5 linked regions of the Tribolium castaneum genome follow. The protein of the gene in region 4 purifies or fractionates together with the protein of the main gene of each other region. This does not show direct contact. Links are inferred from orthologs where the notes say so. Each region holds a gene or a part of one and is shown on either strand. Other genes may lie near its edges.

Evidence for each region.
Region 1: the proteins of DNA polymerase epsilon subunit 3 (region 4) and Iswi fractionate together in Drosophila melanogaster (co-fractionation; 4 studies listed by BioGRID, with this or other methods). This does not show direct contact. The link is inferred for Tribolium castaneum from reciprocal best matches to the Drosophila melanogaster genes Chrac-14 and Iswi.
Region 2: the proteins of DNA polymerase epsilon subunit 3 (region 4) and Acf purify together in Drosophila melanogaster (affinity purification with western blotting; 3 studies listed by BioGRID, with this or other methods). This does not show direct contact. The link is inferred for Tribolium castaneum from reciprocal best matches to the Drosophila melanogaster genes Chrac-14 and Acf.
Region 3: the proteins of DNA polymerase epsilon subunit 3 (region 4) and Atac2 purify together in Drosophila melanogaster (affinity purification with mass spectrometry; 4 studies listed by BioGRID). This does not show direct contact. The link is inferred for Tribolium castaneum from reciprocal best matches to the Drosophila melanogaster genes Chrac-14 and Atac2.
Region 5: the proteins of DNA polymerase epsilon subunit 3 (region 4) and Atac1 purify together in Drosophila melanogaster (affinity purification with mass spectrometry; 3 studies listed by BioGRID). This does not show direct contact. The link is inferred for Tribolium castaneum from reciprocal best matches to the Drosophila melanogaster genes Chrac-14 and Atac1.

The regions. Positions count from the first base shown.
Region 1 is NC_087402.1:7,784,445-7,790,613, forward strand, and holds the start of Iswi (chromatin-remodeling complex ATPase chain Iswi), read right to left. Parts: upstream 3,507-6,169; 5' UTR 3,343-3,506; coding exon 3,292-3,342; intron 3,211-3,291; coding exon 2,629-3,210; intron 2,275-2,628; coding exon 1,024-2,274; intron 791-1,023; coding exon 1-790. Other genes in the region: uncharacterized protein LOC660873, read left to right, coding at 3,781-3,783, 3,832-4,353; Rpi (ribose-5-phosphate isomerase), read right to left, coding at 5,058-5,759.
Region 2 is NC_087396.1:20,818,158-20,824,332, forward strand, and holds the start of Acf (bromodomain adjacent to zinc finger domain protein 1A), read right to left. Parts: upstream 3,574-6,175; 5' UTR 3,336-3,573; coding exon 3,223-3,335; intron 3,088-3,222; coding exon 2,740-3,087; intron 2,684-2,739; coding exon 2,131-2,683; intron 2,084-2,130; coding exon 1,913-2,083; intron 976-1,912; coding exon 1-975. Other genes in the region: Polr3F (DNA-directed RNA polymerase III subunit RPC6), read right to left, coding at 3,722-4,457, 4,508-4,677; mRpL40 (large ribosomal subunit protein mL40), read left to right, coding at 4,766-4,800, 4,849-4,926, 4,971-5,340, 5,383-5,496; Alg12 (dol-P-Man:Man(7)GlcNAc(2)-PP-Dol alpha-1,6-mannosyltransferase), read left to right, coding at 5,833-5,958, 6,001-6,133.
Region 3 is NC_087396.1:22,634,263-22,640,410, forward strand, and holds Atac2 (cysteine-rich protein 2-binding protein), read left to right. Parts: upstream 1-2,734; 5' UTR 2,735-2,803; coding exon 2,804-3,024; intron 3,025-3,077; coding exon 3,078-3,215; intron 3,216-3,266; coding exon 3,267-3,418; intron 3,419-3,470; coding exon 3,471-3,652; intron 3,653-3,699; coding exon 3,700-3,767; intron 3,768-3,812; coding exon 3,813-4,000; intron 4,001-4,265; coding exon 4,266-4,559; exon of another isoform or gene 4,560-4,604; coding exon 4,605-4,786; exon of another isoform or gene 4,787-4,838; coding exon 4,839-5,009; 3' UTR 5,010-5,086; downstream 5,087-6,148. Other genes in the region: XK-related protein 7, read right to left, coding at 1-757; serine/threonine-protein phosphatase 2A regulatory subunit B'' subunit gamma, read left to right, coding at 1,326-1,371, 1,420-2,687; MrgBP (MRG/MORF4L-binding protein), read right to left, coding at 5,087-5,667, 5,715-5,802.
Region 4 is NC_087394.1:1,508,355-1,512,969, forward strand, and holds DNA polymerase epsilon subunit 3, read right to left. Parts: upstream 1,644-4,615; 5' UTR 1,572-1,643; coding exon 1,301-1,571; intron 1,253-1,300; coding exon 1,143-1,252; 3' UTR 1,127-1,142; downstream 1-1,126. Other genes in the region: E3 ubiquitin-protein ligase LRSAM1, read left to right, coding at 616-839, 891-1,010; centrosome-associated protein 350-like, read left to right, coding at 1,993-3,531. UniProt on the Drosophila melanogaster protein: Accessory component of the DNA polymerase epsilon complex. Participates in DNA repair and in chromosomal DNA replication. Histone-like protein which promotes nucleosome sliding of ATP-dependent nucleosome remodeling complexes.
Region 5 is NC_087394.1:37,103,107-37,109,005, forward strand, and holds Atac1 (ZZ-type zinc finger-containing protein 3), read right to left. Parts: upstream 3,513-5,899; 5' UTR 3,328-3,512; coding exon 3,178-3,327; intron 3,131-3,177; coding exon 3,014-3,130; intron 2,911-3,013; coding exon 2,776-2,910; intron 2,727-2,775; coding exon 2,624-2,726; intron 2,577-2,623; coding exon 2,464-2,576; intron 2,418-2,463; coding exon 2,106-2,417; intron 2,054-2,105; coding exon 1,601-2,053; 3' UTR 1,523-1,600; downstream 1-1,522. Other genes in the region: b(0,+)-type amino acid transporter 1, read left to right, coding at 1-192, 243-489, 537-708, 763-830; beg (probable malonyl-CoA-acyl carrier protein transacylase, mitochondrial), read left to right, coding at 3,709-4,315, 4,370-4,587, 4,635-4,862, 4,913-5,080.

The sequences.
Region 1 (6,169 bases), on a different chromosome or scaffold from region 4:
TGCCTTTATTAGTGCCGTAGGCAATTCGGAGTTGATGGAACGGTGCCCGGTATCGGGCCATTTTCGCATCTAAGGCTTTTTTAATGCTAGCACGGCGTTGTATTTTCGTTTCTCCTCTCTCGATTTGTGCCATGATGCGGTCAATGTCTTGTAATTCGTGACACCGCTCCCAAAACACTGCCGAATACTCCATCACTTCTTCGGGAGTTTTCCCTTCAACTTCCTTGGCGATGTTTTCAATATCATCCCTTCCATATTTCTCGTTCGCTTTGATAAACTGGTTAAAGTCACGCTTGCTCCAATTGGTGAAACCTTGGGTGAGCAAGGCTTCTTTCTCCTGCTGTTCCTCCTCAGTCAACATCTCAGACTCGTCAATCTTCCGCTGTTCCTCTCGCTGTTGCTTGGCGGCCTCCGGCCCCAACTCCAAATTTTTGGGGACTTTGTAACCCAAAGTTTTGCGATAGTAGTAAATTTCTTGGTCAAGAAGCTCGAAAAGTCTGGGAGGGAAAAACTGGAAATCTTGTACGATAGGTTGTTTAGGAGGACGTGGTGCTTTCGGCGCTTTGGGCTCAGAAACACGTAAAGCTTCCCTGAAGTAGGCATCGACGGCATAATTGGCCTTTCTTTCACGCTTCGGAGGCTCGATCCAGGTGTTCAAACCGATGTTTTTCTGCTTTTCGCGATAATCCTCGCCTTCGAACTTGTAAACGGACTCTGTTGGCGTGTCCACAGTGAAGTTGCGCAAGGATGACTCGCCGAGAGCTTCGAGTTTTTGGGCCAGTTCCGCTGTCTAATTTTTTTTTATTAGATTAATGTTATAGTCAGGGAGGAGCACAAATAACTAGAGGATTCGAAACGATATACTAATTTAAACCTCCTCGATAGTTCAATAAATTAAAAAAATGGTTGTATTTAAATAACTGTGAATACAACGCAAATAAAAAAAAGTAGATTAGATCTCGTTTCGTCTCCTACGTAGTTAGGAGGTGAACTTTGTTAGTACTGGGAAATTAAGTATTTTACCTTTGCTTCGCCTTTTTGTAAGATAGTGTCGATGTCTTCATCGGTGATTTCCGAGTCTTTCGATGCGAAGACATGATTGGCCCCGTGCCGGATCATGTTCAACATCTCGTCTTTGTTCAAAGACTGCGATTTGTTGTCGATTAGACGCCCTTGTTGTATCACTAACTTGTCTAGCCTCAGCTTGACTTCGGCCCGTTCTACGATTTTTTCCTCGACTGTATTTTCGGTGATAAGTCTGAACACACGAACTTGTTTCTTTTGGCCGATCCTGTGCGCTCTGTCCATGGCTTGGAGGTCCATTTGCGGGTTCCAATCCGAATCGTAGATGATGACAACGTCTGCTGTTGCTAAATTAATACCCAAACCTCCGGCTCTCGTCGACAACATAAAAATAAATTTTGAGCTATTTGGCTCATTATATTCGTTGATTTGGCGTTGCCGGTCCTCGTGCGGCGTCTGTCCGTCCAATCTACAATAATTGTACTGTCTCCAGTGGCAGTAATCCTCCAAAATGTCCAACATTCGTGTCATTTGTGAAAAAATCAAAACCCTCGAGTCCTGCTCTTTTAATTTGGGCAGAAGCTTGTCCAAAAGCACCATTTTCCCGCAATTGTAGACTAAATGTTCGTCGGTGGTGTACGGGGGCCCAGGCTCAGCCCCATCGAACAAATAAGGGTGGTTTGAACACTTACGCAATTGCATGAGAATGTTCTGTAGTCTCATTTTTTCTACTTTACCGGCCCCGTTTACCACATCAATATCCTTCATCAGGACTTTAGTATACCACTCGCGCTGCATTTTGCTCAAACCGACGTAAACTTTGAGTTCTTTTTTCGGTTTTAATTTTTTCTCGACCTCGGATTTGAGACGTCTCAATAGAAACGGCTTCAAGACAGCGTGCAAGCGTTCGACTAACTGGTTATCACCCAAACACTGGTTTGTGTTAAACCAAGCGTCGAAATCATCAGCAGAGTTAAAAACATCAGGGAGTAAAAAGTTAAGGAGGGCCCAAAGTTCGTGTAAATTATTTTGTAAGGGGGTACCGGTGAGTAAGAGACGATTTGTTGTTTTAAACTCACGGAGAATCTCCGATAATTTCGATTTCTCGTTTTTAATACGATGAGCTTCGTCTATTACCATGTAGCGCCAGTTGAATTTCTTAAAAACTGATTTTTCTTTGATAACCATTTCGTACGAAGTCACACAGACGTCCCAATCGCCTGGCATCATCACGTCCCGAATGAAAGCATTCTAAAAAAATAATTAACGAAACACAATTAGAATTAAAGGATCCATTCTATCAAAGCGGGGTTGTTATGATGACTAAGGTTGAAAAACATCTTAAATTCATAGAAAAATATAAAGATGCTTCAACTTTTTCCAACCATATTCTCTCTTCTAATCATTTTTGTACTGACAGTGATAAGGAAGAGGCCTTAACCTTAACCCCCTGTTACCAGCCCCCTTTTACGCCACTGATGAAGAATGTAATCGCGAAAGCGCTCTGTCCTATCACTCTTTTTGGATATTATAAATTTTTACGTAGGTTGGACTTTGTGTTTTCCAACCTTAGTCAAAACACAATTAAACTAAACCAGGTCTTACCCTGGCCTCTTGGTCCCCAATGAGACACACAGCGCGGATGCTGGGACACCACTTCTTGAATTCGTTCATCCAATTGGCTAGAGTCGACTTGGGGACAATCACAATGTGAGGAGACGGCGTGTTTTTATAATGTTTCATGAAACCTAGCAAGGAAATGGTCTGGAGCGTCTTCCCGAGCCCCATTTCGTCGGCCAAGATCCCATTGATCCCGTTTTCGTACAAAGACACCATCCAGTTCAGCCCCCGGATTTGGTAGTCCCTCATTTCCCCGTTCTTGATGAAAGGCGGCGAGGCTTCGAACCGAATCGTCGGTTTGGCCTTGGCATTGCTTTCGGCCAGCAGTTCTTCATCTTCTTCCTGCTCGGTCTTGCGGTGGCGGTGGTCCGCCACTGGGTCTTCCTTGATTTTCTTGGGACGGCCCGATTTCGGTTTCGAAGGCGTTTTGTTTTGGTTCATAAAGTGGGAGAAAATCTCGGTTTGTTTGAGCAGGTAATCGAAACGGCGGCTGCGGTCCGTTTCGAGTTTGGTCTCGAAGTCTTCGCCCTTCCCACGCGACGAGAGGGTGTCCGAAGACGAGGCATTCTTCAATTTCATAAATAAAGCAGAGTCAATGACCCGTTTTTACTTTTACTATTGTGGTTGTTTTAACAACAAGGCTCTTACCGAATTCTCACCAGTGTCAGCGGTTTCACCGCCTTCTTCCACTTTGGACATGGTGCTGGGTGCGCGAAATTCTTAGCTAAAACTACGGAATGTTGGTTTTTAACGACGATAATTTGGAAAAATGCCGTTCATTTAATGATTCGGAAGCGATACGTAGCGGGAAACACTACGAACTAGTCGCAGGACGGCCGCATCTGGGGGCAAATGCGTCAAACTGGTGAAACACCAACAATCCCTACACACTTTGAGCCCATTTTCGGGCGAAAATACAACAATAATTGCATGCTGCACCCCACAACAACGAGAGAATTTTATGATGTGGACAAATTTTTAAAAGACAATTTTTCATAAGGCGGTGAAAGCGTTTTAGACGGTGGCCTTGTAAATGTTGGTAGTCCCGACTGTCAGATTGTTTAAAACGCCGGATGTTTGGTTGTGTTATCTCAACATCAACAGTTTTGGAATAAAAACATAAAACCGTTCCTGATAATGGTAATTGACTATTTTCAATAAGTACTTAGGCGTTAGTATTGATTTTAGACGACGTCCCCTTCCTTTGTTTTAAAAAAGAATCTCTCCTCAGTTCGTAAGAAGATGGCAGGCTCCAAATTTGAGTTGACTGAAGAGCAGAAGAACGATATTAAAGAGGCGTTCGATTTGTTTGATAATGAAGGCTCTGGGAAGATCGACGCCAAAGACCTGAAGGTGGCAATTAGAGCGTTGGGATTTGAGCCAAAGAAGGAAGAAATCAAGAAAATGATTGCTGATATTGATACACAGGGAACTGGAAAACTGTCTTTTGATGATTTCTTGCAATTGATGACCATGAAAATGGCCGAAAAGGATTCGAAAGAGGAGATCATGAAGGCGTTTCGCTTGTTTGACGATGACGAGACCGGAAAAATCAGTTTTAAGAACCTGAAAAGAGTGGCTAAAGAACTAGGAGAGAATCTCACAGATGAAGAATTGCAAGAAATGATTGATGAAGCAGACAGGGATGGAGATGGTGAAATCAATCAGGAAGAATTCTTGCGAATTATGAAGAAAACCAGTTTGTACTAAGTTGGAAACATACCAGGTGATTTCGTAAAATGCTAAAATGACAGCCTTACAAGAATTAAATGCACAGTTTCCTGTCCTATTCGCAATTTAATTTGTTTAAAATGTATTTGGTTTTGCATTAAATTGTAAGGCTAGTCTAGTCGTCTTGCGTGAATCACCCTGTACCAATTAATTGTTTGGAAACGTCTAGTCACCGTTGCACAAATTGTCAGTATTGTAAGTAGTCTAATATTTGTAACTTCTTAACTCAGTCTTAATCATTTTCCAAATTTTCATGCATTATTTTTAAGAAAAACTCGTATATATTTCTACTAAACCATCAAAAACAACGTTGAATTTGACTGTGATTTTTAACCCTTTTTTTCTAACTCAGATTTTCCTAAAAACATCAATTTTAAAATCGACTCATTTTTCTAAAATAAATTGTTTTTAGAAAAACCTGTCTGAGAAAAAAAGGGTTAAAAATAAAATTCAAGTTGTTTTTGATGTTTTAGTAGAAATACGGGTTTTTGTTAAAAATAAAGCGTAGAAACATGACAAAGATGAGTGGGCAAATAATCTGAGTTAAAAGGTTACACATGTTAGACCACCATTGTAAAATGTGTGTTGCACGAGATGCTTTATTTAATTTTGAAAATACAACATATAAAAATATAAAATATATATTTTTAAATAACATTCCTTCAAATAAATCAATGGATGAATTAAATTTGTTCTTTGACTGACCCATCGGCCAACCCAAAATAGGCCTTCTTGGCCATGTTAACAAATAGTCCCGTCTCCACAACTCCCGGAATGAGATTCAATTTGGTGTTGATTGTGTCCCATTTATAATCCTGGAAGTTTTTCCAATCCAGGATAAAATTCCCATTATCGGTGACCACAGGTCCAGCTTTGGCTTTAGCCATTCTGAGCTCAACTGTCCCTCCCAGTTGGTTTTCAATTTGCGTTTTAATGGGGAGATAGGCCATCGGAACAACTTCAATCGGAATCCCCTTTTTGTATTGTTCCCCCAGCTTTTGTGAATTTTTGGTATAATCCGCTATAATAATTAACTCCTTGGCGCAGCTAGCAACAATCTTCTCCTGCAATAAGCATCCCCCACCTCCTTTAATCAATGTCAAGGTGGAATCAACTTCATCGGCACCATCAATGCAAACATCCAATCTTGGATGTATCTCTAGGTCGGTTAGGTGCAGCCTGTGCTGGATGATCAATTGCCTGGCTTGAAAGGACGTTGGGACACACTGTACATTTAATTTTTCGTTTTTCACACGTTCGGCTAACCTCTCAACGGCGTAAACAACGGTGGAGCCGCTGCCGACACCCACAATGGAATTGTTTTGCACGTGGAGGTCCACAGCTTTGTAGGCCGCCAGTTTTTTAGCACTTTCGAGGGATGCCATCGTGACGAATGATCTCCTTAAAAGTTGAAATAAATTCATGGATTTTAAGATAAATTATTCAACTTACGTTTCGCAACGTGCTCATGCGCCTCTGCAGCTTCCTTTTGTGGCTCTATTTTCAAAGTTGCGAGCTGGAAACCGGATAAATTGCACGCTTGTGGGAATAATACGTAACAATTTAATTACTTATTCAACGTAAACAACTATTACCAGTGTCGTTTTCCCCATGTAATTATTTATTACTCCGTTGGTCATCATTTTTTAACGAATGAGAGTGATTAGTGATTTCTGATTTCATTGAGAATGATTTAAATTTCATTAAATCTACTCGTATCATTAGTTAGGTAGGAGTACACGAGTTATTAATATAGCATCATTTTCAAAATGAAAAGAAAATAAAATATATAATT
Region 2 (6,175 bases), on a different chromosome or scaffold from region 4:
ACCGTTGCATTGTCCGTTTTTGCGATTTTTCGCCGGACTGTTCTCCTTATCGCTGGAATTTGATTCTTTGAGTGTTTTCTTCAAGTGGTCCAAAACCTCGTCACGTGTCGCATTGACCAAATGCGGCATTTGTTCGATAATATTGCTCAAACAGGTGCCTGGATTTTCCTCTTCCGAGTTGAGGAAAAATCCAGGGATGGACTCGAGGCGATAAAAGCGGCGAAACGCCCGGTCTTGTCCCAACAAGACTTGTTTCTCGTACACCGCCTTTTGTAACACCACCATTTTCCGCTGGTTTTCCATGCGTCTATGCTCGGCTTCCGCCTCCAACTTGCGTAATTCAGTTGCCGCTTTCTCGTCCGTTTTCGCCGATTTTTTCAGCTTGAACCTCGCAGTCAGAAACTCCTGTTCTCGCTTTTTCTCCGCGCTTAAAATAGTTTTATATTCGTGCTTCGCTTGTCGAATATTCTCCATGCGTTCCTCGACAACGTCCCTAACATCGGCATACGTCAACAGTTGATTCATCAAACACGACAAAATTTGCAACTTATCGACGATCGGTAACTCAACCACGTTGTGGGTCTTCAAAGCTTTGAGAATATGGGGGCTGTGGAGACGTAAATACAATCCGGGATCGTCTTCGCTTAAGTAACCCCCTCGTTGTTGGTAGCGCCATCTCGCGCCGCTCATTTTTATTATAGCACCGGATGATAACAGGTGTAATCTTAACACTTCCGATGTCGTAACCGAATAGAGGGGTAATTGGGCCAACGGAAGCCCTTGGTATTTTTTGCTCCAACCGGCGGCAATGGTCGCTAATCGAGTGGCCTCTTGCAGGTTCATATTATCGGAAATTTCCTCCTGTTTCAGGTTCAAAGTCTCGGTTTCGGTGCGATACTGAGAAGCCTCTTCCTCTTGCACGTGGAAAAGGGCGAGCAACAGCATTTGGAACAGGTCGATGAGGGGGCCAGCCACCTATAACAACGTTCCAAATAATGCAAAAAAAAAAACTGAAGTGGCACACTGGACGTCAAACCGAGATTCATTAATAACTTTTTATTTTTTTAATAAACAGTCATTCCATGATTACGGACGGGACATAATTGTGTCAAATTTTATTTTCAAACTGACTTATCAAGTTAAATATTTATGCCGCCAACTTTTCCAAAATCGTTATAGATCATTGATTACGGACGGGACAGTAAAAATTGTGTCAAAAATAAGTAAAAAACTGTAAATACTTTCAAAAGAACACAAATATGTTAGAGGGGCTAGATATATTTAAATGATTTTTTCATGAAAACAGATAATACAGCGAAAGTGTATGATAAAAAAAGAAAATAGTGAGATTACGGACGGGACACAAAAAATTATGTTGCAATTTTATTATAACAAAAATAATAATCGACTAACAATTATCAAAAAGAAAAAGTACGTTAACAATTAATGTTTTGGTAGTTTTGGAAAAATTATTTCAGTTACATAAAAGTTGTCTTTTATATTGTCAAAACATTCCGAAAGTTTTGGTGCATAAAAGTAACAGTTAATAATCTCAGAAATTAAAGATTTTAGGGTGTTATAATTTGGTCTTTGAGGGAATTTTTTTTATTGTTTTAAAAATAAATAGAAATTACGTATGTATGCAAAATTCCACCTTATTCGGTTAACAGCAACCCTCTCGAATTTGACTCGGAAAATATGAAACCAGAGAAATAGACAACAAGGCAAGAAATTAAATAAAAACTTAAAAAAACATTTAATAATAATTGATAACAAAAGGAATCCATTTTTAGCTTCAAAGTGCAAGTTTTTTAAAATTGTACGGGAGAAAATCGTCTTGCATAAACATTATTAATGATTCTTTTTCCCATTCATTCAGCCATTTGAAATGACAATTGTTTAAAAAAAATACCTCATTTTCTGTCAATGCCCTCTCCATAATCTCGAGCGAGAGCCCCCCTGGGAAAAAATCCTTGGTGTGCAAAAGTTTGGAAAACGTGTTTGCAAACTCTAGCACCATTAAAACGTCCCCCACGTATTCATCGGCAATTTTCAGTTTTACTGGACTAGCTTTTGGCAATTTCTACAAAAAAATTAATAATTCCAATTCGTTTGCAACCAAACACGGACTTTTTGATCGACAAGTTCCAGATCCTCTTTTGGCTTATTCCAGTTCTTCAACTGTTTGGCAAGTTGAAGATTCTCTTCCTTTTTCTTCTGCTTCATTTCGATTTTTTTCTCCTTCTTTTGCTGCCTGGCCTGCTTGAATTCCTCCTCCTTCTTCCTCATTCTCTCAAGTAAATCATTGTTACCGTTCTTCGCAAAGTTGGTACTCTTCGTGAGGTATTTATCGAGCGATTCTTGTCGCGTTTTCTTGACGAATTTCTTCGACGGACTGAATTCGGGCGGTTGGCCGCCGAAAATTTTATCGAAAGTGATTTTATCCAAATTAAAGGCTTTCAAAGCTGAGGGTTTTATGACGAAAACGCCTCTACTGTCCTGCTCGGCGTATTGTTTAAGGAACAGCTTGCACTTTTCGCGCGAGTAAGTGCCCTTTTTGCGGCGCATTTGACTGCAGTCAACGATCATAAATTCGCTTATGTCGTGATCGTTGGCGTCCAAGTGCTCGATCTCGTACTTGTAGAGGTTCGCCGGGGGGTTGCAGTGCTTGTCATTGGTGTTTCTAACGGTTTGTGATTAAAATGACGCAATTTGGCGTTTTAGTATCAGGGGACTTACCCGTTTTTTGTCGGCGATTTGGTTTGTTTGTTTGGGGGCGGTATGACTTGTAGCACGTGCGAGTCCTTCCACTTGGTTTCCGTGAACGAGGTTTCCACGTTTTCGCCGATAAAGTACCTGTCTTTGGTGAACAAGTACACGTCTTCGGCCATGTCAACAAAGGACGTCCGTTTTGTCTGACTCGCCAAGTACAGGAGTGGTATTTTGAGCTCAGCTGGGAACTCTTTGAGGCTTTTCCTCGCGTTTTCCTCGCTTTCCAGCGCCTCGGCATACGTTAAATTCGGTTTTCCCGTCATCGCACATGTCCAAATCATCGAATTGCACAGGAACATCCTCTCGGAGAAGTCCCTGAAAAGCCAAGCGTTGAATCGATTCCGATCTCCGATTGCGTTAAATTTGAGGTCGATGGCGTAGGTACAGTGGACCGTTAGGTCAAGCGTTTGAAAGCAACCACGTTCCAAATAACCCGCCGCAAAAACTCACTCGTAATCCCGGAAAATCTCGTTGGTGGCCCCACAGTAGAAAACTTCCTCGTCATCGCGGATATCCTCCGGGACCGGCGCTTTTTCGAAGGGCTTTCTCCTCAAAAGAGGCATCGCAATTTGGAGGGAAAACTCACGACTCCACAACAAGTCTAATCAGAATTGCTCCCACATTTACAACACACACAACGCAACACTGATGGATTAGCAACCAAATCTGACATGAAATGGCGAGATTCAAAGCGAACTAACCGAAAATTTCCGCAATAAAATTGCGTTTCTCACACCATTCATGACAAACAGACAACCTCTTCGGCTTCGGGGCTCCGGCGCATGCGCGGAGCGCAGGTGACTGCCAAAAGCTGTGCCCAAGAACGGACATTTAAAAAACCTGCGACCACCAAAATGTTCCACACTTTTTTGTGGTTATGTTCCCCCACAAACATAACCTTAATTAATTAATACGGGATAAAAAAAACACCAGTTTGTTGCGAAACACTTTATTCGAGCCATTCCGTGAAATAATTACAAACTTTCGGGTTAATAAAACCGGTATCGGCGCACCTGCTGGCTATGGGGCAAACCCCACAAGTGGTTGTCACAATGCCAGGTGTTTGCATAAATTTATTGACCGCTCGGTACAAAAACGAGCCGTTCGTGGCCACAATCCGCTCCGCGTTATTATCCAAAACAACAGTATACAAAATGCTCTCAATATCGTCCACTGACAGCGAAATTTTACTAATCCCCAGCTCGGAAATAAATTTGTGGACGTCTTGCGCCGTGGCGTAGCTCCGGTTTCGGGCCAGGAGCGGGCCGCCCCCCATGCTGTTCGCATCCTCCCACTTCTGGCGCAAATACCGGCAGCACTGTTGGCTCAAAACGTCCACAAACTCCGACTCGAAGTCCTGGTCCTGGTACCAGGCGCCCCCCGTGACCGAACTGTCGGCCTCCAAGTCGTACAACATGTACACTTTTTTCTTACTGGCCGAGACTGACTTTACGGCTTTGATTATTTTTTTCGTCTCGAGACTTTTGAGGACTTTGTTTAGTTGCGTCATGTTGAGGTTGGACTTGAAGCGAATGTCTCGAATCCAAATGCCCTTGTTGCCAGCCTCTTCGATTATCTTAAACACGACTTTTTCCTCGTTGTCGGCCCCCCGAATGGCGGGCTTCTTCGACGAGTCTTTGTATTTGTAGAGGAGCTTGTCTTTGGTCTTGAACAACTCCAAGGAACTGAAAATTTTGGTTAGGAATAGAATTAGGGGGTGATTGCGCCCACGAACCCATTTTTTAAACACTTGTTGATTATCAGGGCGAGTTCTTCGAGGGGTAAATTAGGAATTGCCTGTTTTATGTTCTCGTTTGAAATCCCCTCAGGCTTGGCCTTGGCTAATTCCAGTAAACGGTCTTCGTTACTTATCTCTTCGCTGTTTGAACTCGTAGCTTGGCTCATTTTTGGGGTTATGTGAGGTTATGTTCTAACCTCAAAATTTTGGCCTATTTCTATTTTTGCCGATTTTTTTTAGGAAAAAAGGCAAGAAATGAGCGCCTGGTCTTTGATAAACACATTTAATAGGTGTGGTATAAGTTTGGAGTAATTGGCACTAACTGTGACATTTTTTAGGCTAGCCCTCCAGTCGTGCCCAAGACGGGGAATTGCAACGAGTGTCTTTCTCAATTTTAGGGCAACACCATGTCTCATGTAAGTAATAACGAAACGAGGCCCCCAATTCACCAATTATCTAGGGCCGAGCCTTTGAAGAAGAAGAAAAAACTAGACCCTGCAGTTATTAAAGCACGAGAAGACCGCAAGAAGAAGAAAATTGAGAAGCAAATCCGGCGATTGGAGAAGCACGCGCGCCAGTTCAAACCTATCGAAGAGTGTGAAGTGCCCCTCACTCTGTTAGATGAGAAAAAATCAAGGATGAGGTCTTTGCCTGCACTTTCTGACAGTGAATTGGAACAAAGAGCACTTTTGGACAAACAATGGGCCACTTATCGGAAAAATGAGCATCTTACGGACGTCCAAATGCTGGACCGGATTTTCTTTGCGCAACAAAAAGCCTTGGATGAGCTGCGGAAAGAGTCGGAGGAGTTGTATCAGGAAGCAATGCAGGTGACTGGGGCTTTTTTTCGCAAAATATATTTTTTTGTCCAGATTGATTTCAGATTATTGCCCTTTAAGAGCGAGGGGCCTTTGGAAACGCCAGCTATCGACAATTACGAAAGCCCGGACGGTGATTATGCCGATGTTTCGAAAAAATGGGAATGAAAAGGAAATAAATAAAGTAGGATAATAATAAATAGACAAAATTTGTTTTATTCACACTTCAAAATCACTTCAAATTCACACTTTTTATTATTGTTTACGTAACAAATTACGTGTCCGACCGTTTCAAAATAATAAAAATTGCCCCTATTGTTGGTAATTTGATGGTAAAATTGTCTCAAGGCGCCCTAAACCCCAAACCCAGCACAATGATCCCAGTTCCGGACCGAAGAGATAAAATAAATTTAGCTTATTTACGTCAGCTCATTTGAAATTGTAGGTTAGGTGAATCTATTTTCGTCCAAAATTCAAGAATGTAGATAAAAATTAGCCCCCGAAATGGTGCAAATAATGCTAATTATCGCCGCCGCCCATTTGGTATACTGCCCATTTACCAAAGTGGAGGAAAGCTTCAATTTACAGGCCATGCACGATATTTTGTACCACAAGTGGAACCTGTCTCAGGTAGGCGCCCCTTGTCTCGCCCACAAATAACTGTGTTTCTAGTACGACCATTTGGAGTTCCCCGGAGTGGTGCCGCGGACGTTCATCGGCCCCTTGTTCATTTCGATTTTGGTGGCCCCCATAGTCTCGCTTTTGCAGTTGTTCGAAATTAACAAATTTTGGGCGCAATATATCGGTAATCAAGTTGAAAAATAGTACAAAAATTGTGATTTTTTAT
Region 3 (6,148 bases), on a different chromosome or scaffold from region 4:
CCAGGATGTAGATGGCGGCCATCAGGGCGCACACGCCCAGCTTGCGCCCCCTTTGCCCGTGAAAGGGGCTCCTGGGGGACAACAACCAGAGGAACATGCAAGCCCAATGTAGGGCCAAAACCAGGAAGACCCAGGAATGGTAGCTGGCAGCGTAGGCAGAGAGGGCCAAGGCACGTGCTGTGACAGTCCCCGCCCGCCACAACAACTGTGAAACAACCCCCAGCCAGGTCAAGACTAACCTATCGACACTTTGTACGTGCTTGCTGAACGAGGCTAAAGCCCAGCAAACGGAGAATAGGGACAAGGCGGCCGAAACTGTGACCAGATTGGCAGGGGGCCCCTGCCCAGTGCCTGGCAAGAGACTCAGCTGAAGGAGCAGCATGGGGGCCGCTTGCAAAAACCCGTGAACTAGCCGCAATATACACAAGTCGCGGACTTCGCGCTTTACACTAGATAAATGAACAGGTACTAGAAGACGGCCGTAGCGCCACAACACCCCCAACTGCATGACGTGCAACCCGATTACTAAAACCTTCGAGAAACCCGACGGTTTTTTGACTAAGTACCAGTGCAAGGAGAGGATTTGCGTGACAAGGGTGGCCAGGACGATAGCCCCCAGGCACTGGGCGAAGAGGAGGACCAAGCCGCGTTCGTACAACGCATACACCATGAGAATATCAAATACTAGATCACAGAAATAGGCAGCGAGGGAGACTACGTTGAAGAGGAGGTCGCATAATGGCAAAAATTCTGCCATGTCTCTGGACGGAGCATCACATGCTGGAAGGAATGCGTTCAGTTGAGCCTCCGGTCGGATTATTCATGGTACGTACTTGTGCGGGATTTGCTTGGGCGATTGCCCGCATTCCTAACCTCCTTTCATACTTGAAATGGATTTTAACACCTGGCGCTGGGGCTCAAAACCGACCCCTCCATGGCTTCATGACCTTGCAAGGGGGGCACCAAACACCAGACACCAATTCACCCACGATTCTGACACGGCTTTCGCACAATTTCTCAACATTTGACAATTTATTTAAAAGGACACAGTGGCGCAAATCGGTTTGACGAAGGAATGCGGCAGTGTCTAACGTCACAACCACACACCGACCAATTTTTCACACCAAATAATCACGCGAAATTAACTAATTACGAACGTACCTCACCCCACATAACGCATTTATTCGATTTTTGGCGCAATTATCATAAAAATTGTATAACAAGGCCTCCAAACCCAAAATGTGGTGACCTTAGCCACCACCCGCCATTTTTTCAAATTGTCACAATCACAAGTTCACGGTTAGGTTTATTTTTTTGCGGACAAAATGGATTTAAAAACACTACTGCGGGAAAAAATAACGAAAAGTGGAGGTAAAAATTAATTCATTTAGTTAAAATTTCGACTGGTAATTTTGCCAGGTGCGAAAAAGTCGCCCCCCGAGTTGGAGCAACAAGAAGACGAGTACTTCCAACACTACATGAAGCAATATTGTGACAAACCACCGAACGAAACCACGGGCATTCCGCGTTTTTACAATAAATTACCGAAAGAAGATGAGCCCCTAAGGCAAAAACTGCGCGAGGAGAGCCGCTCCAATTTACTGAAACGTAAAAGTCAAAACTTGTTGGATAACAACGAATTGAAGGAACTGTGGGTGATTTTGGACCAGAACCAGAGCTACCCCGAGGAACAGTTGATAACGTACTCCGATTATCAGAAGGTGGTCACGCTGGTGGGGCCCAAAGTCAAGCCCTACTTCACTTCGGTCGTGTTTGCGAAGCTCCAACAGGGTGACCCCCAGGGCAGAGTCTCGATCATGTCGCTTTTTAACTACGTGATGCGTAAAGTGTGGCTACAGCAGACCAGGATCGGGTTATCGCTGTATGATAGTACGGGACAGGGTTACTTGACTGAAATCGACTTGGAGAATTATATCACTGAGTTGTTGCCAACTTTGCCGCAACTTGAGGGACTGGAAAAGTCGTTTTATAGTTTTTACGTGTGTACGGCCGTTCGGAAATTTCTGTTTTTCCTCGATGGAGTGCGTGCGGGTCGTGTGCGGATTTTAGACATTTTAGCTTGTTCGTTCCTTGATGATTTACTCGAATTGAGGGACGAGGAGTTGAGTAAAGAGGTGCAGGAACAAAATTGGTTTAGTGCCCCTTCAACGTTACGTATTTACGGACATTATCTAAATCTTGACCGTGATCACAACGGAATGTTGAATAAATCTGAACTTGCGGGTTATGGCTCTGGGACTTTAACGCAGCCCTTTCTAGACCGCGTTTTTCAAACGCTTTTGACTTATTCCGGTGAAATGGACTACAAAACTTATCTAGATCTAGTACTAGCTTTGGAAAATCGTGCCGAACCACAAGCTCTTGCTTTTTTGTTCCGCATCTTAGACATAAATAATCAAGGCTACTTGGACTCTTTCACTTTAAATTATTTTTTCCGAGCGATTCAGGAGCAGATGAGGGCCCATGGGGCCGAAGCTGTGTCCTTTGAGGACGTTAAAGACGAACTGTTTGACATGGTCAGGCCTAAAGATCCGGAAAAAATCACCCTGAATGATTTAATCGCCTGTGGGCAAGGGGACACTTTTGTCAGTATTTTAATCGAGTTTCACCGCTTTTGGGCCTACGAGAATCGAGAGGCCGTCACGGCGGAGCCCTCCCAAGACTGATGTTACAATAAATGCAATTTTACATAATTTTCGTCCATTTTTTTCAAAAACCCGCCATTATGGACGTCAATCACGTGACAATAATCTCGAAGTGAGGTTGTGTTTACAATCCAAAAATGAGCGAAACTTGCAAAATCTGTAAATATTGCACAAATAAATTGGAAGATTGTCTCGACGAAGGCCTAACGTGCAGTTCATGTTCGCAAAGTGTTCATTTGCGGTGTCTCAAAAGTGGTTGTGTGCCTGGGGGGCTTCACGGCGATATTTTTTTCACATTCACTTGTGAGGAATGTTCGGAGGCCGGGTCCGAGTCGTTTGTTAGGGAGAAAATGTCTTGGTAATTAGAAATGTAGTAGGTATTTAGGGCGTTCCGTGGACGAGTTCTTTTAGGTTAAAAGTATTAGTTTTGGCTTTGTATCATTTGCAGTCACGAAGTCCGGGTTTGGGGCGCAAGGGGTACTTCCATTGGAGGAACCACATAGCGTCACTAATCGACAAAAACTGGGAGAGTCTGTTTTTGAAGGATTTGTAAGTTCCAACATTTGATTATCACATATTTGTAATTGTTGGTTTTTGTAGTAAAAAGAAAAAAAAATGGGTTGGGACCGTTGCTGGGACTTTATCGCACTTCAGTACGTATTTTTTCAAGTCGGGGACTTCGGTCGTTAATGAACCGGCTTGGTGGGCCCTCACCTACCCCAAACTCACCCCTAACGTAATTTCAAATTTATGTAATTGAGTGAAATAATAATTAAAAAATCAGGAGTGAAAGTATAATTCCAGATGCTGCTCTCACGAACGAGAAGCAAAAAACGAAAATTTTAAAAATATCAGTCTCAGACACTGAATTATTCACACAAATTTTACACAAAAACATCAAAGACGATGATTTGCTAACGCCTTTATTCACTGTCGATGTTCCCAACTTTTCGGAAAAAAATCCAGACGATGAAACCAATAAAAAGGTACAATTTGTTACGTTTTGAACTTACAAATCATCCATTGTTTGTAGATTACTAAAAACTTTACCGTAAATAAAAGAAAAAGTCTTTTACCAACATTTGAGAGCACGTCCAAAAAGTAAGTTTTTCTGTTCAAAGTCACAACATAACAATGCAATTCTAGACTCTTAAAAATGAATAAAAACTCGCCGGTTTTTTCAAACTTAGGTGATGAATTAACGCCAACTTATCTCAAACAAAACGAGCGAAATTTGGGCGAAGCTCAGCCACGTAATAAGCCCCCAAGTGAGCAAAATAAGGAGTCTGTGAAATTGCTCGACCCGTTTTGTCACTACAACACTTGCTTTAGCAGTAAGTCAAGTGAGAGGTGTGCAGGACTAAAGCTAGGAGGCAAGACGAGATTTTTGTAAATATTGTAAAGATTCTGATTTATTGAAAAAGTTGAGAAATTAAGTTAAGTTAAGAAAGGTCATAATTGAATAAAAAAATCTGCCCAAGTACCAATTCCAAAAGGTTATTTTGCGCTTAAAATTTGCTCGATTTTTCGTCATGCCACCAAATATTTTGGTCCCCCATAGTCCCAGGGCTTAAGAATTTACTCCAAAAATAATTTTAGACGCGTTTAGGCAGAAAGGAAGCGAAATGAGAGTCAGGTTGATGGGTGGTATCAGAAAAGAACTAATTCTCTCACCTTACAGCAGCATTTATTTAAAACCTTACATACGAAGAGATACAGAAACTTATCCATCCTGGCTACGCCTAATGGCCGAGATACAAATGAAAGCAAACGAAAAAACACAAAATTACGTTCTACCTCCAAGGGCCCCTATTGACTACACCTACGTCCAACCTGAGCACATACCTGCCATTAACAGTCTCTGCAACAACTTTTTTTGGCCAGGAATCGATCGTAAGTGTCCGAAATGTTACAACACAATTTAATTTTTTGTTGCAGTAACTGAAAGTTTGCAATATCCGGATTTTAGTTGCGTAGTTTTGTACAAAAAATTAATAGTGGCGTTTGCGTTCCTCGTCCCCAATGTTAAATACACCGAAAATTACGTCTCTTTTATTTTTACACGGCCAGGATGGCGAAACGTCGGGATTGGAAAGTTCATGTTGTATCACTTAATCCAAGTAATTGAAAAGTCGATTTTTATTAAACTAGTTGGTTAATTAATTATTTCAGACAAGTCTCGGCAAAGATATCACACTACACGTGTCCATCAACAACCCGGCCTTGTTTTTGTACCAAAAGTTCGGTTTTAAGGTGGAAGCAGTCGTTTTGAATTTTTATGATAAGTATTTACGCGAGACAAGCGAATCGAAACATGCGTTTTTCTGCCGCCTTGAGAGGTGATGTTGCTCCGAGTTGCATCGTGTTTTACGTAATTTATTGAGGCACTTTTTATTAATTTTAATAAAGTGAGAAAGAAACTAAATGCGTCGCCTTTTTGTCACTGGTGGTGTGACTGTGATTGGACTAGATTTACCACTCGAACTGGAATCGTCAGGTTTAGAGCTGCCTCTAGTAGGGCGCTTCGTCAGTTTTGGTGTGTCGTCACTTTTCGCTTTTGCCTTGTTTTCCTCCCTTGGTGTACTACTATTACTCTTACCTTTACTTTTACTCTTTTCAGCCTCTTTCTTGATTTCTTTTTTCGCACTCACTGGGGTTTTGTCCTTACTGTCTTTACTATCACGCCTTGGCACCTCCTTACTGCTCCTCACAGGAGTCTTTTCATCTTTTCGCAATTCCTTGAGCGACTTGGGCGTTTCGCGCCCTTTCTGCGCCAATTTCTTGTCCTCTTCCTTCTTCACAATGAGGGAACCGAAGTCGGAATCGGGAAGTGTGAACTCTTTCTCACTATTCGGGAACGGAATCGACTCACTCTCATCCAAAGCTTCCAAATTGTACATTGTCTCGAGGTGGGCCCACACCTTGTCCGAGTTGATCTCCTTCTGGCAACTATCAGCGAACTTGTCACAGATGCACGCCATTTGGAAGTACTTATTGACGCCTGAAAGGGGGCTTCAGTTTTTTAGGTTAGGTTCGTGGGGGACGTACCGACGGGCTTGTGCCCCACCATGGCCTCCAGGAGCTGCCCCTCGTGCGCCACGTTCCACTCGATCTCGTCCATGGGGCCCTTAATCATTTAAAAACGGAATTAAATTATTTAAAACGCCAATTGACAAATGACTGTTTGAGGGCGCCACTGCCGCCATCACGGTCAATTTGAAATTTTAATTAATCTTTTAGTCATTATTGTTTTACAGGCCACAGATGTATTATCAACTACATTAGAATGTTGTTAGAACACTTCAACATTTTTTTTTTGCAAAATAAATGCATTCAAGTCTTGACACACGTTTTTTTGTTTGTGACCCTGAATCCCGTATTTTCCTTTTTCCTTAAAAAAAATTTAATTTGAGCTCGTCAAAGTACCGATAGTTATTAAAAACACGAGCTACAATGTTGGTAAATGATTTACTGAAGAGTTT
Region 4 (4,615 bases):
GTCACACCTTCTGATAAAAAAATTAAGCTATTTTCGTTTTTCCAGCGTTTGAAAGCGGTTTTTTAACTAAATATTCACTTTTTTTGCGCTAAAAACTATATAGCTTTGTGAGATTTTACTAAAACTTGGCCAAAAGTCACATCTTTTGATAAAAAAATAAGCTATTTTCGCTTCTTTTCAATATTTAAGCACAAAAAATTGCGTTATTTTTGCCTTTTTTATATTTATATTTTATTATATATTCGCTCATTTTTATGAAACCCACTCAAAAAGGTACATAAATATTACCTAGATAAAAATTAAGTATTAGTATTTAATTAAGTACGGCCAAGAAATTACAAAATGGGGTCCAAAACCACTTGATTTTTCCATTTTTCGAGTTTTTAATCATGTTTTGAGCTTTTTCGAACATTCAGTTCCGTGTTTATCAACAAATTTTTTTCTAGTGATTGTTACTTTTGCTTAAAATCATACATGAAGACTTCTTAAGAATTATTTTCGCTTTTATTAAAATCGAGCTTAAGTTGGCAACGCCGAATTATTTGCCCGTCAGTGTTGCCAACCTAAATTTCAAAGTCAGTGCCTACTTTGGCCCGATTTTTAACCAATTTGCAGGCAACGTTGCAAAAATCACAGAAAGCGACCTCAAAGAAGTGGGAATTGTGAATAAATCGGACCGGGTCCACATTTTAGACGCATTCCAAATGTACCGAAAGGAGCAAATACCGACCGATACGGCCCCCTCAGCTCCAGTGCTGCCAATCGAAGAGGCAAGTGCGCCACCACTCGAAAATGTCGCAAATTTGGGGACTGAATGCGTCATTTGTTTGGACTCAACTGTATGTTGTTTATCTCAAATTAAGGCGAATTTTGGTGTTTTTTTTTTGCAGTGTGAGGTGATTTTCGTGCCATGTGGACACTTCTGTTGCTGTTCCCAGTGTCCTGTGACCTTGAACGACTGTCCAATGTGCAGGACTTCAATCGAACGCAAAATTAGAATAATTTCATAGTTCGTTCAACTGCCGTCACTTTTTTTGCTCAGTGTTGCTAAAGTGTGAATTCTGCACGATTTGTGGCCTTAATCTAGTCAGTTGTTACTTTTTCTCATGAATAAAAAACTATCACAAAAAATTTATTTTTTATTACGATTCTCCCGTTTCTTCCTCTTCCACGGCCTCCTCGTCGTTGTCTTCCGCCATTTCAACGTCGGCCCCCTTCTTCACTTTCTTCTTCTGCTTCGCTTCTTTGAAATCTGAAGTCGGTTTTTGAAACGTGAACATAACCTCAAAAAAAAACTAACCTCTCAGCATCACACTTAAGGGCTCCACGAATTCGTCAAACTCGAGCTCTTCTAACGCTGTTAGAATGTCTTGACCCAGAAGAGTCTTTCTGTTCACTTTTTGCGCCTCTTTGGTGGCTTGTGAGGTTATGTACAGGACAAAAATTGAAGCGGCCCTTGACAGGGCCGAACGGGCGTCTTTACCAACACTGACGTGTTCAGGCAATGCGTCTTTAATTATCTTTTGCACCGTCATGTTCGGCAAATTCAAATCTTCCAGTTTTTCGGCCATTTGGTCACAAAATTCACAAAATTACTTTTCCCACCAAAAACAAAAAACGCGCATGCGCAATGCCAACCGCCATGTTTGAATTTTGATTAAAAAATCATTAATTTGTTTATTATTGGTCACCTAATAATTATAAATTTGTGTTTTTTGTTTAATTAAGCTTGGGGGGCTCGTGACGAATGGGGTGGTTTATTTTAGGGGCTGTTTTTTGCAGTTTTGGTGGGGGGCCTTGAACTATTCACCCTTGTTGGCCTTGGTTATTGAGGTTATGTTATAAACGGTTGACGTTTTGAAAATATGTGAAAAAGGTGAGTTAATTTTGCATTTTCTCACCTAAATTAACACAAATGTGGGTCAATTCGTGAATTGTACGTCAGTCTAATCAATTTCCAGTCGTAATTCGCTAAAAAAAGGGGGTTCAGAAATGTCCATAAGCCAAGTGGAAAATGTCAGCACTCGTGTAAAAAACACAAAAAAAGAGATCGAACAGCTCAAAACCGAGCTAGAGAAGCTCATAAGTCTTGGGACCCAGCCCCCTGAGCCCCCCACCCACAAGCCAGCCCCTGATACCCAAACCGTTAAAAAAAAGGCGCCCCCCGATCCCGAGAAAAAGCCCCGCAGTTATGACGTCACCGAGGCGCGTAACTACATCAAAAAACAGCGGGAAAAACGCGCCGAACAATTGCGGGCCCAAATCAACACCACTGACAATAAACTCGATCTGAAAAAGCAAAAACTGAAAGAATTACACCAGAAAACACTCGAGCTGGTGACAAAAAACGTGCAGTTGAAGCGCGAACGCTCGAAATCGCGGGACAAGGGCGAGCCCCCTGTCCGGATCGACCGCTCGAAGGCGCGGGAGAAAGGGGGCCCCCTTGTCCGAACCAACCGCCCGAAGTCACAGGACAAGGGGGGCCCCCCGAAAATCGACCGCTCGAAGTCGCCCGCACAAAAAGTTTCTGAGGGCTCCGAAAAGACGCAAAAAAGCGAGAGAATTTCGAGGGCCAAGGCCCGGGAGCCCCAGAAATTGGCGAAAACGTCGTCTGAGGCGAAAGAGACGCAAACGTGCGACAAGGGGGCGCCCTGGCTGGAGCCCCCTTGTGCGGCGTATCCGTACAATTTTATAAACACAGTTAAGAGAAAATTGCAGTTTGCTGTGAATTCGCCCCGGAATTTTATCGACATTGGGGTGCAGAATTCCGGGACTCCGCCCCTGGAAACAAAATCGAGGGAAGAAATTAAAGAACTGTTGATTAAAAGTGCCAAAAGTGAGTTGAGATCGTTTGTTTCGCACAAATGTCTCGACTTGAAGCCTGTGGAAAATTTAGAATTGAGAGAAGTGTCGAAAAATTTGTTCAATAATTGTGATAGTGGTAGTGAGTCGGATACTTCGAAAAATATTCCCGACATTTCGAGTGAAAGTCTAAAGCTCGATTTCGATAAATTGAAAAACTACAAGTTGCAGAAAAGTGACGATAGTTACAGTTCGGATTTTCACAAAGAAAGTGTTTCATTTAAATCGCTCCTAACTGAAAAAAAAGTATCGAAAAATTTCTCTGATTCGGATTCGGTTCCCGAATCTTTGACGATGAAACAACCAAATGTTTCGCTTTCGGTTCGTAATTTGAGTCTTGCCAATGGGAAAATGAACACGGTTACGATTAAATCAGCTAGTGAAAAAAACTATTTATCGGATTCGAATTTTTCGCAAGAAAAACAGTCGTTTAAATCGCTCTTGGTTGGAGGTAAAAATTCAGAATCGGTTTCGGATCATTTGGAAACGAGTAAAATTATCACAACTGAAGAAAACACCAATAATTTGGAAACAAGTTCAAAGAATTCGAGTTCTAAAATTATTACCGAGGAAAATACGAGTAACAACAGGTCTTTGAGTTTGGAGAAGCCACAAAATGATGGTAAAAATCAGCTGAAAAATATCACACTTAGGCCAAGTTCTAGTACGGTAAGTTGTTTTTTTTTGTCTCATTTAGAACAGTTTTGAACCGAAACATTTCAATTGATTTCAAGAAAAAAAGGTTGAATTTTCACCGGAAAATTCTAAAAACTCCAACAAAAGATTCTAAAAATATGTAGTAAGCGGATTATTGTAAGACCAAAGTTTGTAAAATTGAGTCAGAAATGCAGTTATTTTTCACCGAAAAAAAAAAATAAAATCGAAATATTTTTCCAAAAAAAGGTGTTTACTTATTATTTACTTACAAAGAGAATAAGTAAATTTGAGAAATGCAATCAAAACAAGTCAAAAAAAGTGTAAAAACATGTTCTATTTTTTCCGTTTAACCTGATTTTAGAGAATTTTTTGGTTGAAAAATTCATTAAATTTGAGAAATCCTCTAAAAAACTAGGCAGAGATTGTGTAAAAACTTCATGTACTCAGAAATTTTGCCAAAACAAGACCAAAATTTGTAGAATTACGTCTGAGATGCCTTATTTTAGTCAATGTTTACAATTATTTTTAAAAAATTTCGCCAGAGCCAAGGCAAAAAACTTGAAAAATTGGTTTTATCTGTAATTTCAGTACATTTTTAAGTAAGAAAACAAGGCAGAAATTAGTAAATTAAAGAATAAAATGCGTTATTTAAATCATTATCTGCTAAAAAATCCATCGAATTTGAAAGATTTCATCAAAATAAGGCAACAATTTTCATTTTTGTGTACTTATAATCTTATCAACAAAATAGAAATAAATTACGAAATTTTGAAGTCAAAAAAGTATAAAATCAGGATCGAAATGCGTTGTTTTCTTCCGTTTTATTTGATTTTCGAGCATTTTTTAATGAAAAACTGAATAAATTTGAGAACTTTTCAAAAAACTAAGCAAATATTGTGTAAAAACTATGTGCCAAATTTTGTTTCTAAATTTTAAAATTTTGATAAAACATGGAAGTAAATTTTAGAATTAGGTTTGAAGTGCCTTATTTTCACCAGTTTTACACAATTTTAGAGTATTTTTTAAAGAAAACGTTCATAATTTGGCTAATTTTGTCAAAACAAGACTAAAATTTGTAAAACTAGGTCCAAAATGT
Region 5 (5,899 bases), about 36 Mb from region 4:
AGTCACCGGTTTGTATGTCTTTATGAACATGGCATACATGACCGCATTATCGATACCTGAGATGATAAATTCGCCTGCTGTTGCTGTAACTTTCGGTGAAAGGGTTTTAGGCCCTTTGGCGTTTTTGATACCACTAGGAGTGGCGTTAGCTACGTTTGGATGTGCCCTAAGTATACAATTTGGGGTCACTAGGTACCAAAAAATTAATTTTGTGTGTCTTTTAACGAATTAAATAATTTAAGGGTGTGTTATGTGGCAGGACAGGACGGCCTAATGATCAAAAGTCTTTCCTTCGTTCATCATGAACGTCTAACTCCGTCATTCGCTGTCGTTTCTCAGGGGATTTTATCGCTCCTTTTTATCGTAGCTGGGGATATTGTTGAACTGATCGAATTTGTTAGTTTCCTCATTTGGATATTCTACGGGCTGGCTTTTGTCTCGTTACTTGTCTTAAGGAGGACTATGAAAGATGCTCCTCGACCCTACAAAGTACATATAAAATCTTTTTTTCGGTTTGGTTTAATGATTTTTTTCAGGTGCCTACATGGATTTGTGTTTTCGTTTTATTGGTAGCTATTTATTTGAGTGTTACGCCCATTATTACGGATCCAACTCCGAAATATTTGCTCGCTTTGGCGTTTATTTTGGTGGGGGTTTTGGTTTATTATTGGTTTGTTTACAAGAAGCGAACACCGGAATTGTTGATGAGTATGAGGTTTACAATTTTTTGTGGGGTAATTTACTAATTGTTGCAATTTTTAGGAAAGTTTACACGTTTTATTCAGATTTTATTCGCGGCTGTGCCACCCGATAATCCAAATGCTACATAAGAAATTATTTATTGAGATGTTATGTAATTTATAATTGCAGTTGTAATAAAATGAAATATAAACGGAAATGTATTTTTACGATAAGAAACGATAAAAACATCATAAATGATTTATTATTCTTTTGACAGATAAGAACGTTAAATACATATTTTATTTTACTGAATAAAGACCGCTCAATGAAATAATAAGTGTAGTCAAGTTGTCAGTGATACGTTAAATAAATTAGTTGCAGTGAATAAATTAAATTCAACTTGTAGAATTTTGTTTAAAACTGTTTTTCAATGGAATTTAAAAAAAAACTGGAAAGATTTTGCTTAAACTATAGGTAAAAAATTGTAGAATTAAGTCTAAAAAAATCAATAAATTTTAGGAAATTTGTAAAAACAACGGAGGAAATCACTTAATCAGGTCTAGAATGCATTATTTACAAAAAATTATGAGTAAACTCTGAAAATTCGAAATATTTGACCAAAAAAAACACTTTCAATAAATGCGTATTAAAAGCACGCAAAAATTCACAACACGCACTGAATAATATTAAAAAAGTTATGTAAGAATTAAGATAAATGATCAACAAAAAGGTAACTAATTTTTGCAAAGCTGTAAACAAAGTTTTATTCATTGATTTTTGTTACGTTATCACGTCGATTTTCAGGAGAGCTCTGAAGGGTTAAACGAAAAGCTAACATATAAAAAAACTTTTCATTGCAATCACAAATTTACATACAAACAAAGGCAATAAATAAATAAAATCTTCAACAACAAAACGTTCAATCCTTATCAAGCAACAAATTCGAGTGCAAATAATCGTATGAAAGATTTTCAATTTCGCTGAACAAATCGGACCCAAGTCCGTCCACAAACTCGTCATTACCATAATTACCAAACTCCAACTTTGGCATTTCTTCACTTTGATTTTTATTATCAATTTTCTCGCTTTCGTCCATTCCGTTTGCCATCACTTGGTCCTTGACATTATCCGAAATATCGCTCATTTCTTCATCACTTGATTCGTTATTTTGATCCAAACTGCCACTATTTGACTCTGAATCACTTTCAATTTCTCTATCACCACATGCGATTAAATTGTGGTTTAAAGGGTGGCTATTATCGGAATAAATTTGTGTTAAAACACAGTCTGTACAAAAATCAATTGAGTCATTTTTGCAAGTGTTACAATGCCATCTGGTGCCAATTATTGGTTCATCGTTGCAATAATCACACTATAAGAAAATAAATCACCAAAAAATTGGCTAAATTATTATTATTTTTTACTTTAAATCCCACGTGTTGGAAATTAGACCCACTCTCATTCTCCCTAATTTTAACTTTTCGTATCCGTTTTAAAAGTTCCAGCTGTAACTCACTGTCACTTTTTTGGGGCAAAATCTCACTCTCCTGGTGATAAACCGAAGGTATGAGATAATTGGAACTTGTAGAAGGCTGTATCTCATCTGTAATTTTCGAACTAGGTCCAGGAACATTATCCAAGTCATTCATTACTACAGGAACACATAAATCGGGGAAAAAAGTTGTAGGTTTCCATAAATAATGATTGTGACGCTGGTGCTTATGTAATGACGTTCTCTACAAAAAAATAATTTTTTGGTGCCTTAAAATAATGTAAATTCACTTTGTGTTTTTCGGCAGATTTTGGAATTCGGCCAGGAATTGGCAATCCAGCTTTGTACAATTTCACAAAATATTTCTGAATTCGGCTCGTGACTTGCTGAATTGTTCGATTACCTAAGAAAATTTAACCAAGTTTTAATATTTTTCGCCTAATTAATTACCTAAAGCATCAGCGATTTTTTTAAACCGTCTCATTTCAACCGGTTCAGGCGGATAAATTTGGAGCAATTCTTCTAAACGTTTCTGCTCTTCTGTTGTCCATTTCTATAGAATCAAGCAATTTTATTTGAACCGATTTTACAAAATGTGTTACCCCATGTGAAATTTTCGTTTCTTTTTTCGGCGTTTCGGGTTTTTTCTTAACAGTCTCAGAACCGTCTGAATAAATCAATTTGAAACTTTCCTCCGGGATTTTAATATCGTACTTTGACCAGTCAATAACCGGCAACTAAAATGCACCAAATGAACAAAATATTCCTTGCTTTATTAAAAATTATATTTTGTTCTCTAATGTAATTAGGTGAAAAAAATCTCAAAAAAATTGTAATTACTTCAGGCATGCGGTGCATATCTGGCATTCCCAAAGACTCCCCTTTTATAATTTTCTCCAAGACTTTGGCCGGGTCTGCCAGTGCTTCTTTCTTCAATTCTACTGCTTTGTTATAGTCCTGAAGACTTTTTTAATCGAAACGTAACTAAATTCACACAACTTTACCTTTATTGCTTGTTTTCTCTGAGCACACAGAATGAGCAAGTTTTTAAGAACCTCACTATAGTCCTTATTTCCTCTCAAAGCCAAGTGATCCGTTTCGAAATAGTACAAATCTTCTTCAGGATTTATGTCCGATTCTTGCGTATTTGTCATTTTGTTTGTAAAAAATTGACTAGATATTACACAATTCACTCTCGTATAACTTAATTTACAAAAAAATACAAGAAATAAACACTACACACGTGAAATTGACAGCTGACCTGTAACCTTACTTTTGACAACCTTAAACAAGACCAAATTTACGAAAGTGGTTCCGTCCGATCTTCATTTTCGTTAATTTTCCTTAAAGCTAGCTCAAGTAGAGTAGTTTGCATCAGTGGTGATAAATTTGGCGTCTTGGATTAAAGTTTAGATTGGGCGAACAATCGGTCATATGGTCGCAACTTGACATTCGAGGTTAAGTTGAATCATTAAAATGTGTTTTTATTTGAATTAGTTTTGTGTGTTTTGCTTGATTAACAGTTTAATTATACCATGATGTTTACTAAAATTATTACACGAAATTTTCTGAAAGACTGCGATCGTGTTTTGGTAGGGCTTCGCCCCTTCTCCCTGTCCTCAAATCGTAACTGTGATGAGAAAAAAACGCAAGAATCTCCCCTAAAGAAACTCCTCGACGAATCAGCAACCTTTGAAGACTTGCACCCCCAGACACAAGAACAACAATGGGCTACTTTGCCATACCCTCAAGGCACCAAAATTCGCAAACAGGGTGTCTCATTTATCGAAAAACCTAAATATGATCCACGCGAGTCCTCGATAATTTTATTTCCCGGTCAGGGGAGCCAATTTGTCGGTATGTGCAATGACTTGCTCAAGTACCCCATGGCTAGGGATTTGTTTGAGTTAGCGAATTATATTTTAAAGTACGATTTGTTAAAATTGTGTCTTGAGGGTCCCAAAGACAAATTGGACCAAACAAAATATAGTCAACCGGCAATAATGGTCAGTTCTTTAGCGGCAATTGAACGACTGAAAGAGGAGAGACCTAGGGCTATTGAGAGTTGTGTGGGGACAGCAGGGTTCAGTTTGGGGGAAATTACAGCGTTAGTGTTTGCGGGGGCGATTGGTTTTGAGCGAGGTTTATTTTACAACCAGTTGGCAAAAAATTGAATTTTATTTGGAATTTTTTAAGGGTTACGATTGGTGCAAATTCGGGGGGAAGCAATGCAATTGGCTAGTGAGGCGTACAAGGGGGGGATGGTCACAGTAATGTACGGTCCTGACACGAAGTTAAACCAGGCACTAGTCAAAGCCAAGGAATGGGCAACTGATAAAGGCGACTTAATGCCCGAATGTCAAATTGCCAATTATTTGTACCCCCATTGTAAAGTCATCTCGGGGAGCGAATCTGTAATTTTTTTTCTTCATTTTTGTAGTTGTTATGCAGTTAATTGTAGGCGCTTGATTATTTGGAAAAAAATGCCAAAGAATTAAATTTACGTAAAGTTAAAAGACTTGCGGTTAGTGGAGCTTTCCATTCCAATTTAATGTTACCAGCGGTTGAACCGTTTCGAAAGGCATTAAATAAATCAGAAGTGAGCAATCCTGTAATTAGTGTTTATTCAAATGTTGACGGGAAAAAGTACAAAGACGCAGCGCAGATCAAAAAACAATTGCCGAAACAGGTAATTTAGAAGTGTTTTTTTTTTCGTGTTTTGAGTTTTTCTTTCTCCAGATTGTTAAACCTGTAAAGTGGGAACAACTTCTTCATGTTGTTTATGAGAGGAGTCAAGGGGATTATTTCCCAAGGACGTTTGAGTGTGGCCCAGGCACGTCCCTAAGGGCTATCCTTAAACAAGTGAATGCCAAAGCATGGACTACGTGTTTTAATATTCAAGTGTAGAGTTTATTTTGAATAAAATTTTTGAAACAACTATTATTTTTTCTTTTTCCAATTCCCCAAAACCATTAACGAACATTTTATCTTGAAGCCTAATAAGGCAAAAATTAAAAGGGGCATCCGAATGTGCTTCAAATTATTTATCGAATGGTGAAAAAAAATAATTTAAACGAAATTGCTCGTTTGTGAAATTCGGTTATTGGAGCAAAAAGTCGAAAATGAACCTCAAATGTAGAGAGCACGCAAATTTGAAATCGCGCGCCTCTCGATTTGACGTCTCGACGAACCAACCAATGAGATGTCCTGACTTGATGTCACGCGGTGGTCTAGTGGGGACGCACTTTTTTCACAAGCGCGTCGTTAAGTTTTTGCTTTTATGTGTTGTTAAAAAAGTGTTTTTCGCGTAATTAGTGCCAAATTGACTGAAATCAAAGTTTTCTATTGGAAATCTGACGAGATGACATCATCGGTTGCCGGCTGGAAACGAATTCCAAGAAACGCTGGAGGACCGGTTCAAAAGCGAGGGAGACGCTACCTATAAGGTTAGCAATTTTTGGTATTATTGCATTTTTATCGAGAAAACAGAGCTGATAAAGGGCCAAATTATGTCTGAACTTTTATTTTTGCCTTGTTCCGATGCTTTTCTCCGAGAGTTTGATGAAACAAGACTCGAAAATGGAAAAGTAGGCCGGGCAACGCGATACCAACCTATTAAATGTCCCTAACGAAAAACAAAACAATGGTAGAAATTTTGTCAGAAAATTCCATAAATGTGATTTTTTGGGCTTATTTTCTTCTCACTCACTAAGTTTTTTCAGAGGT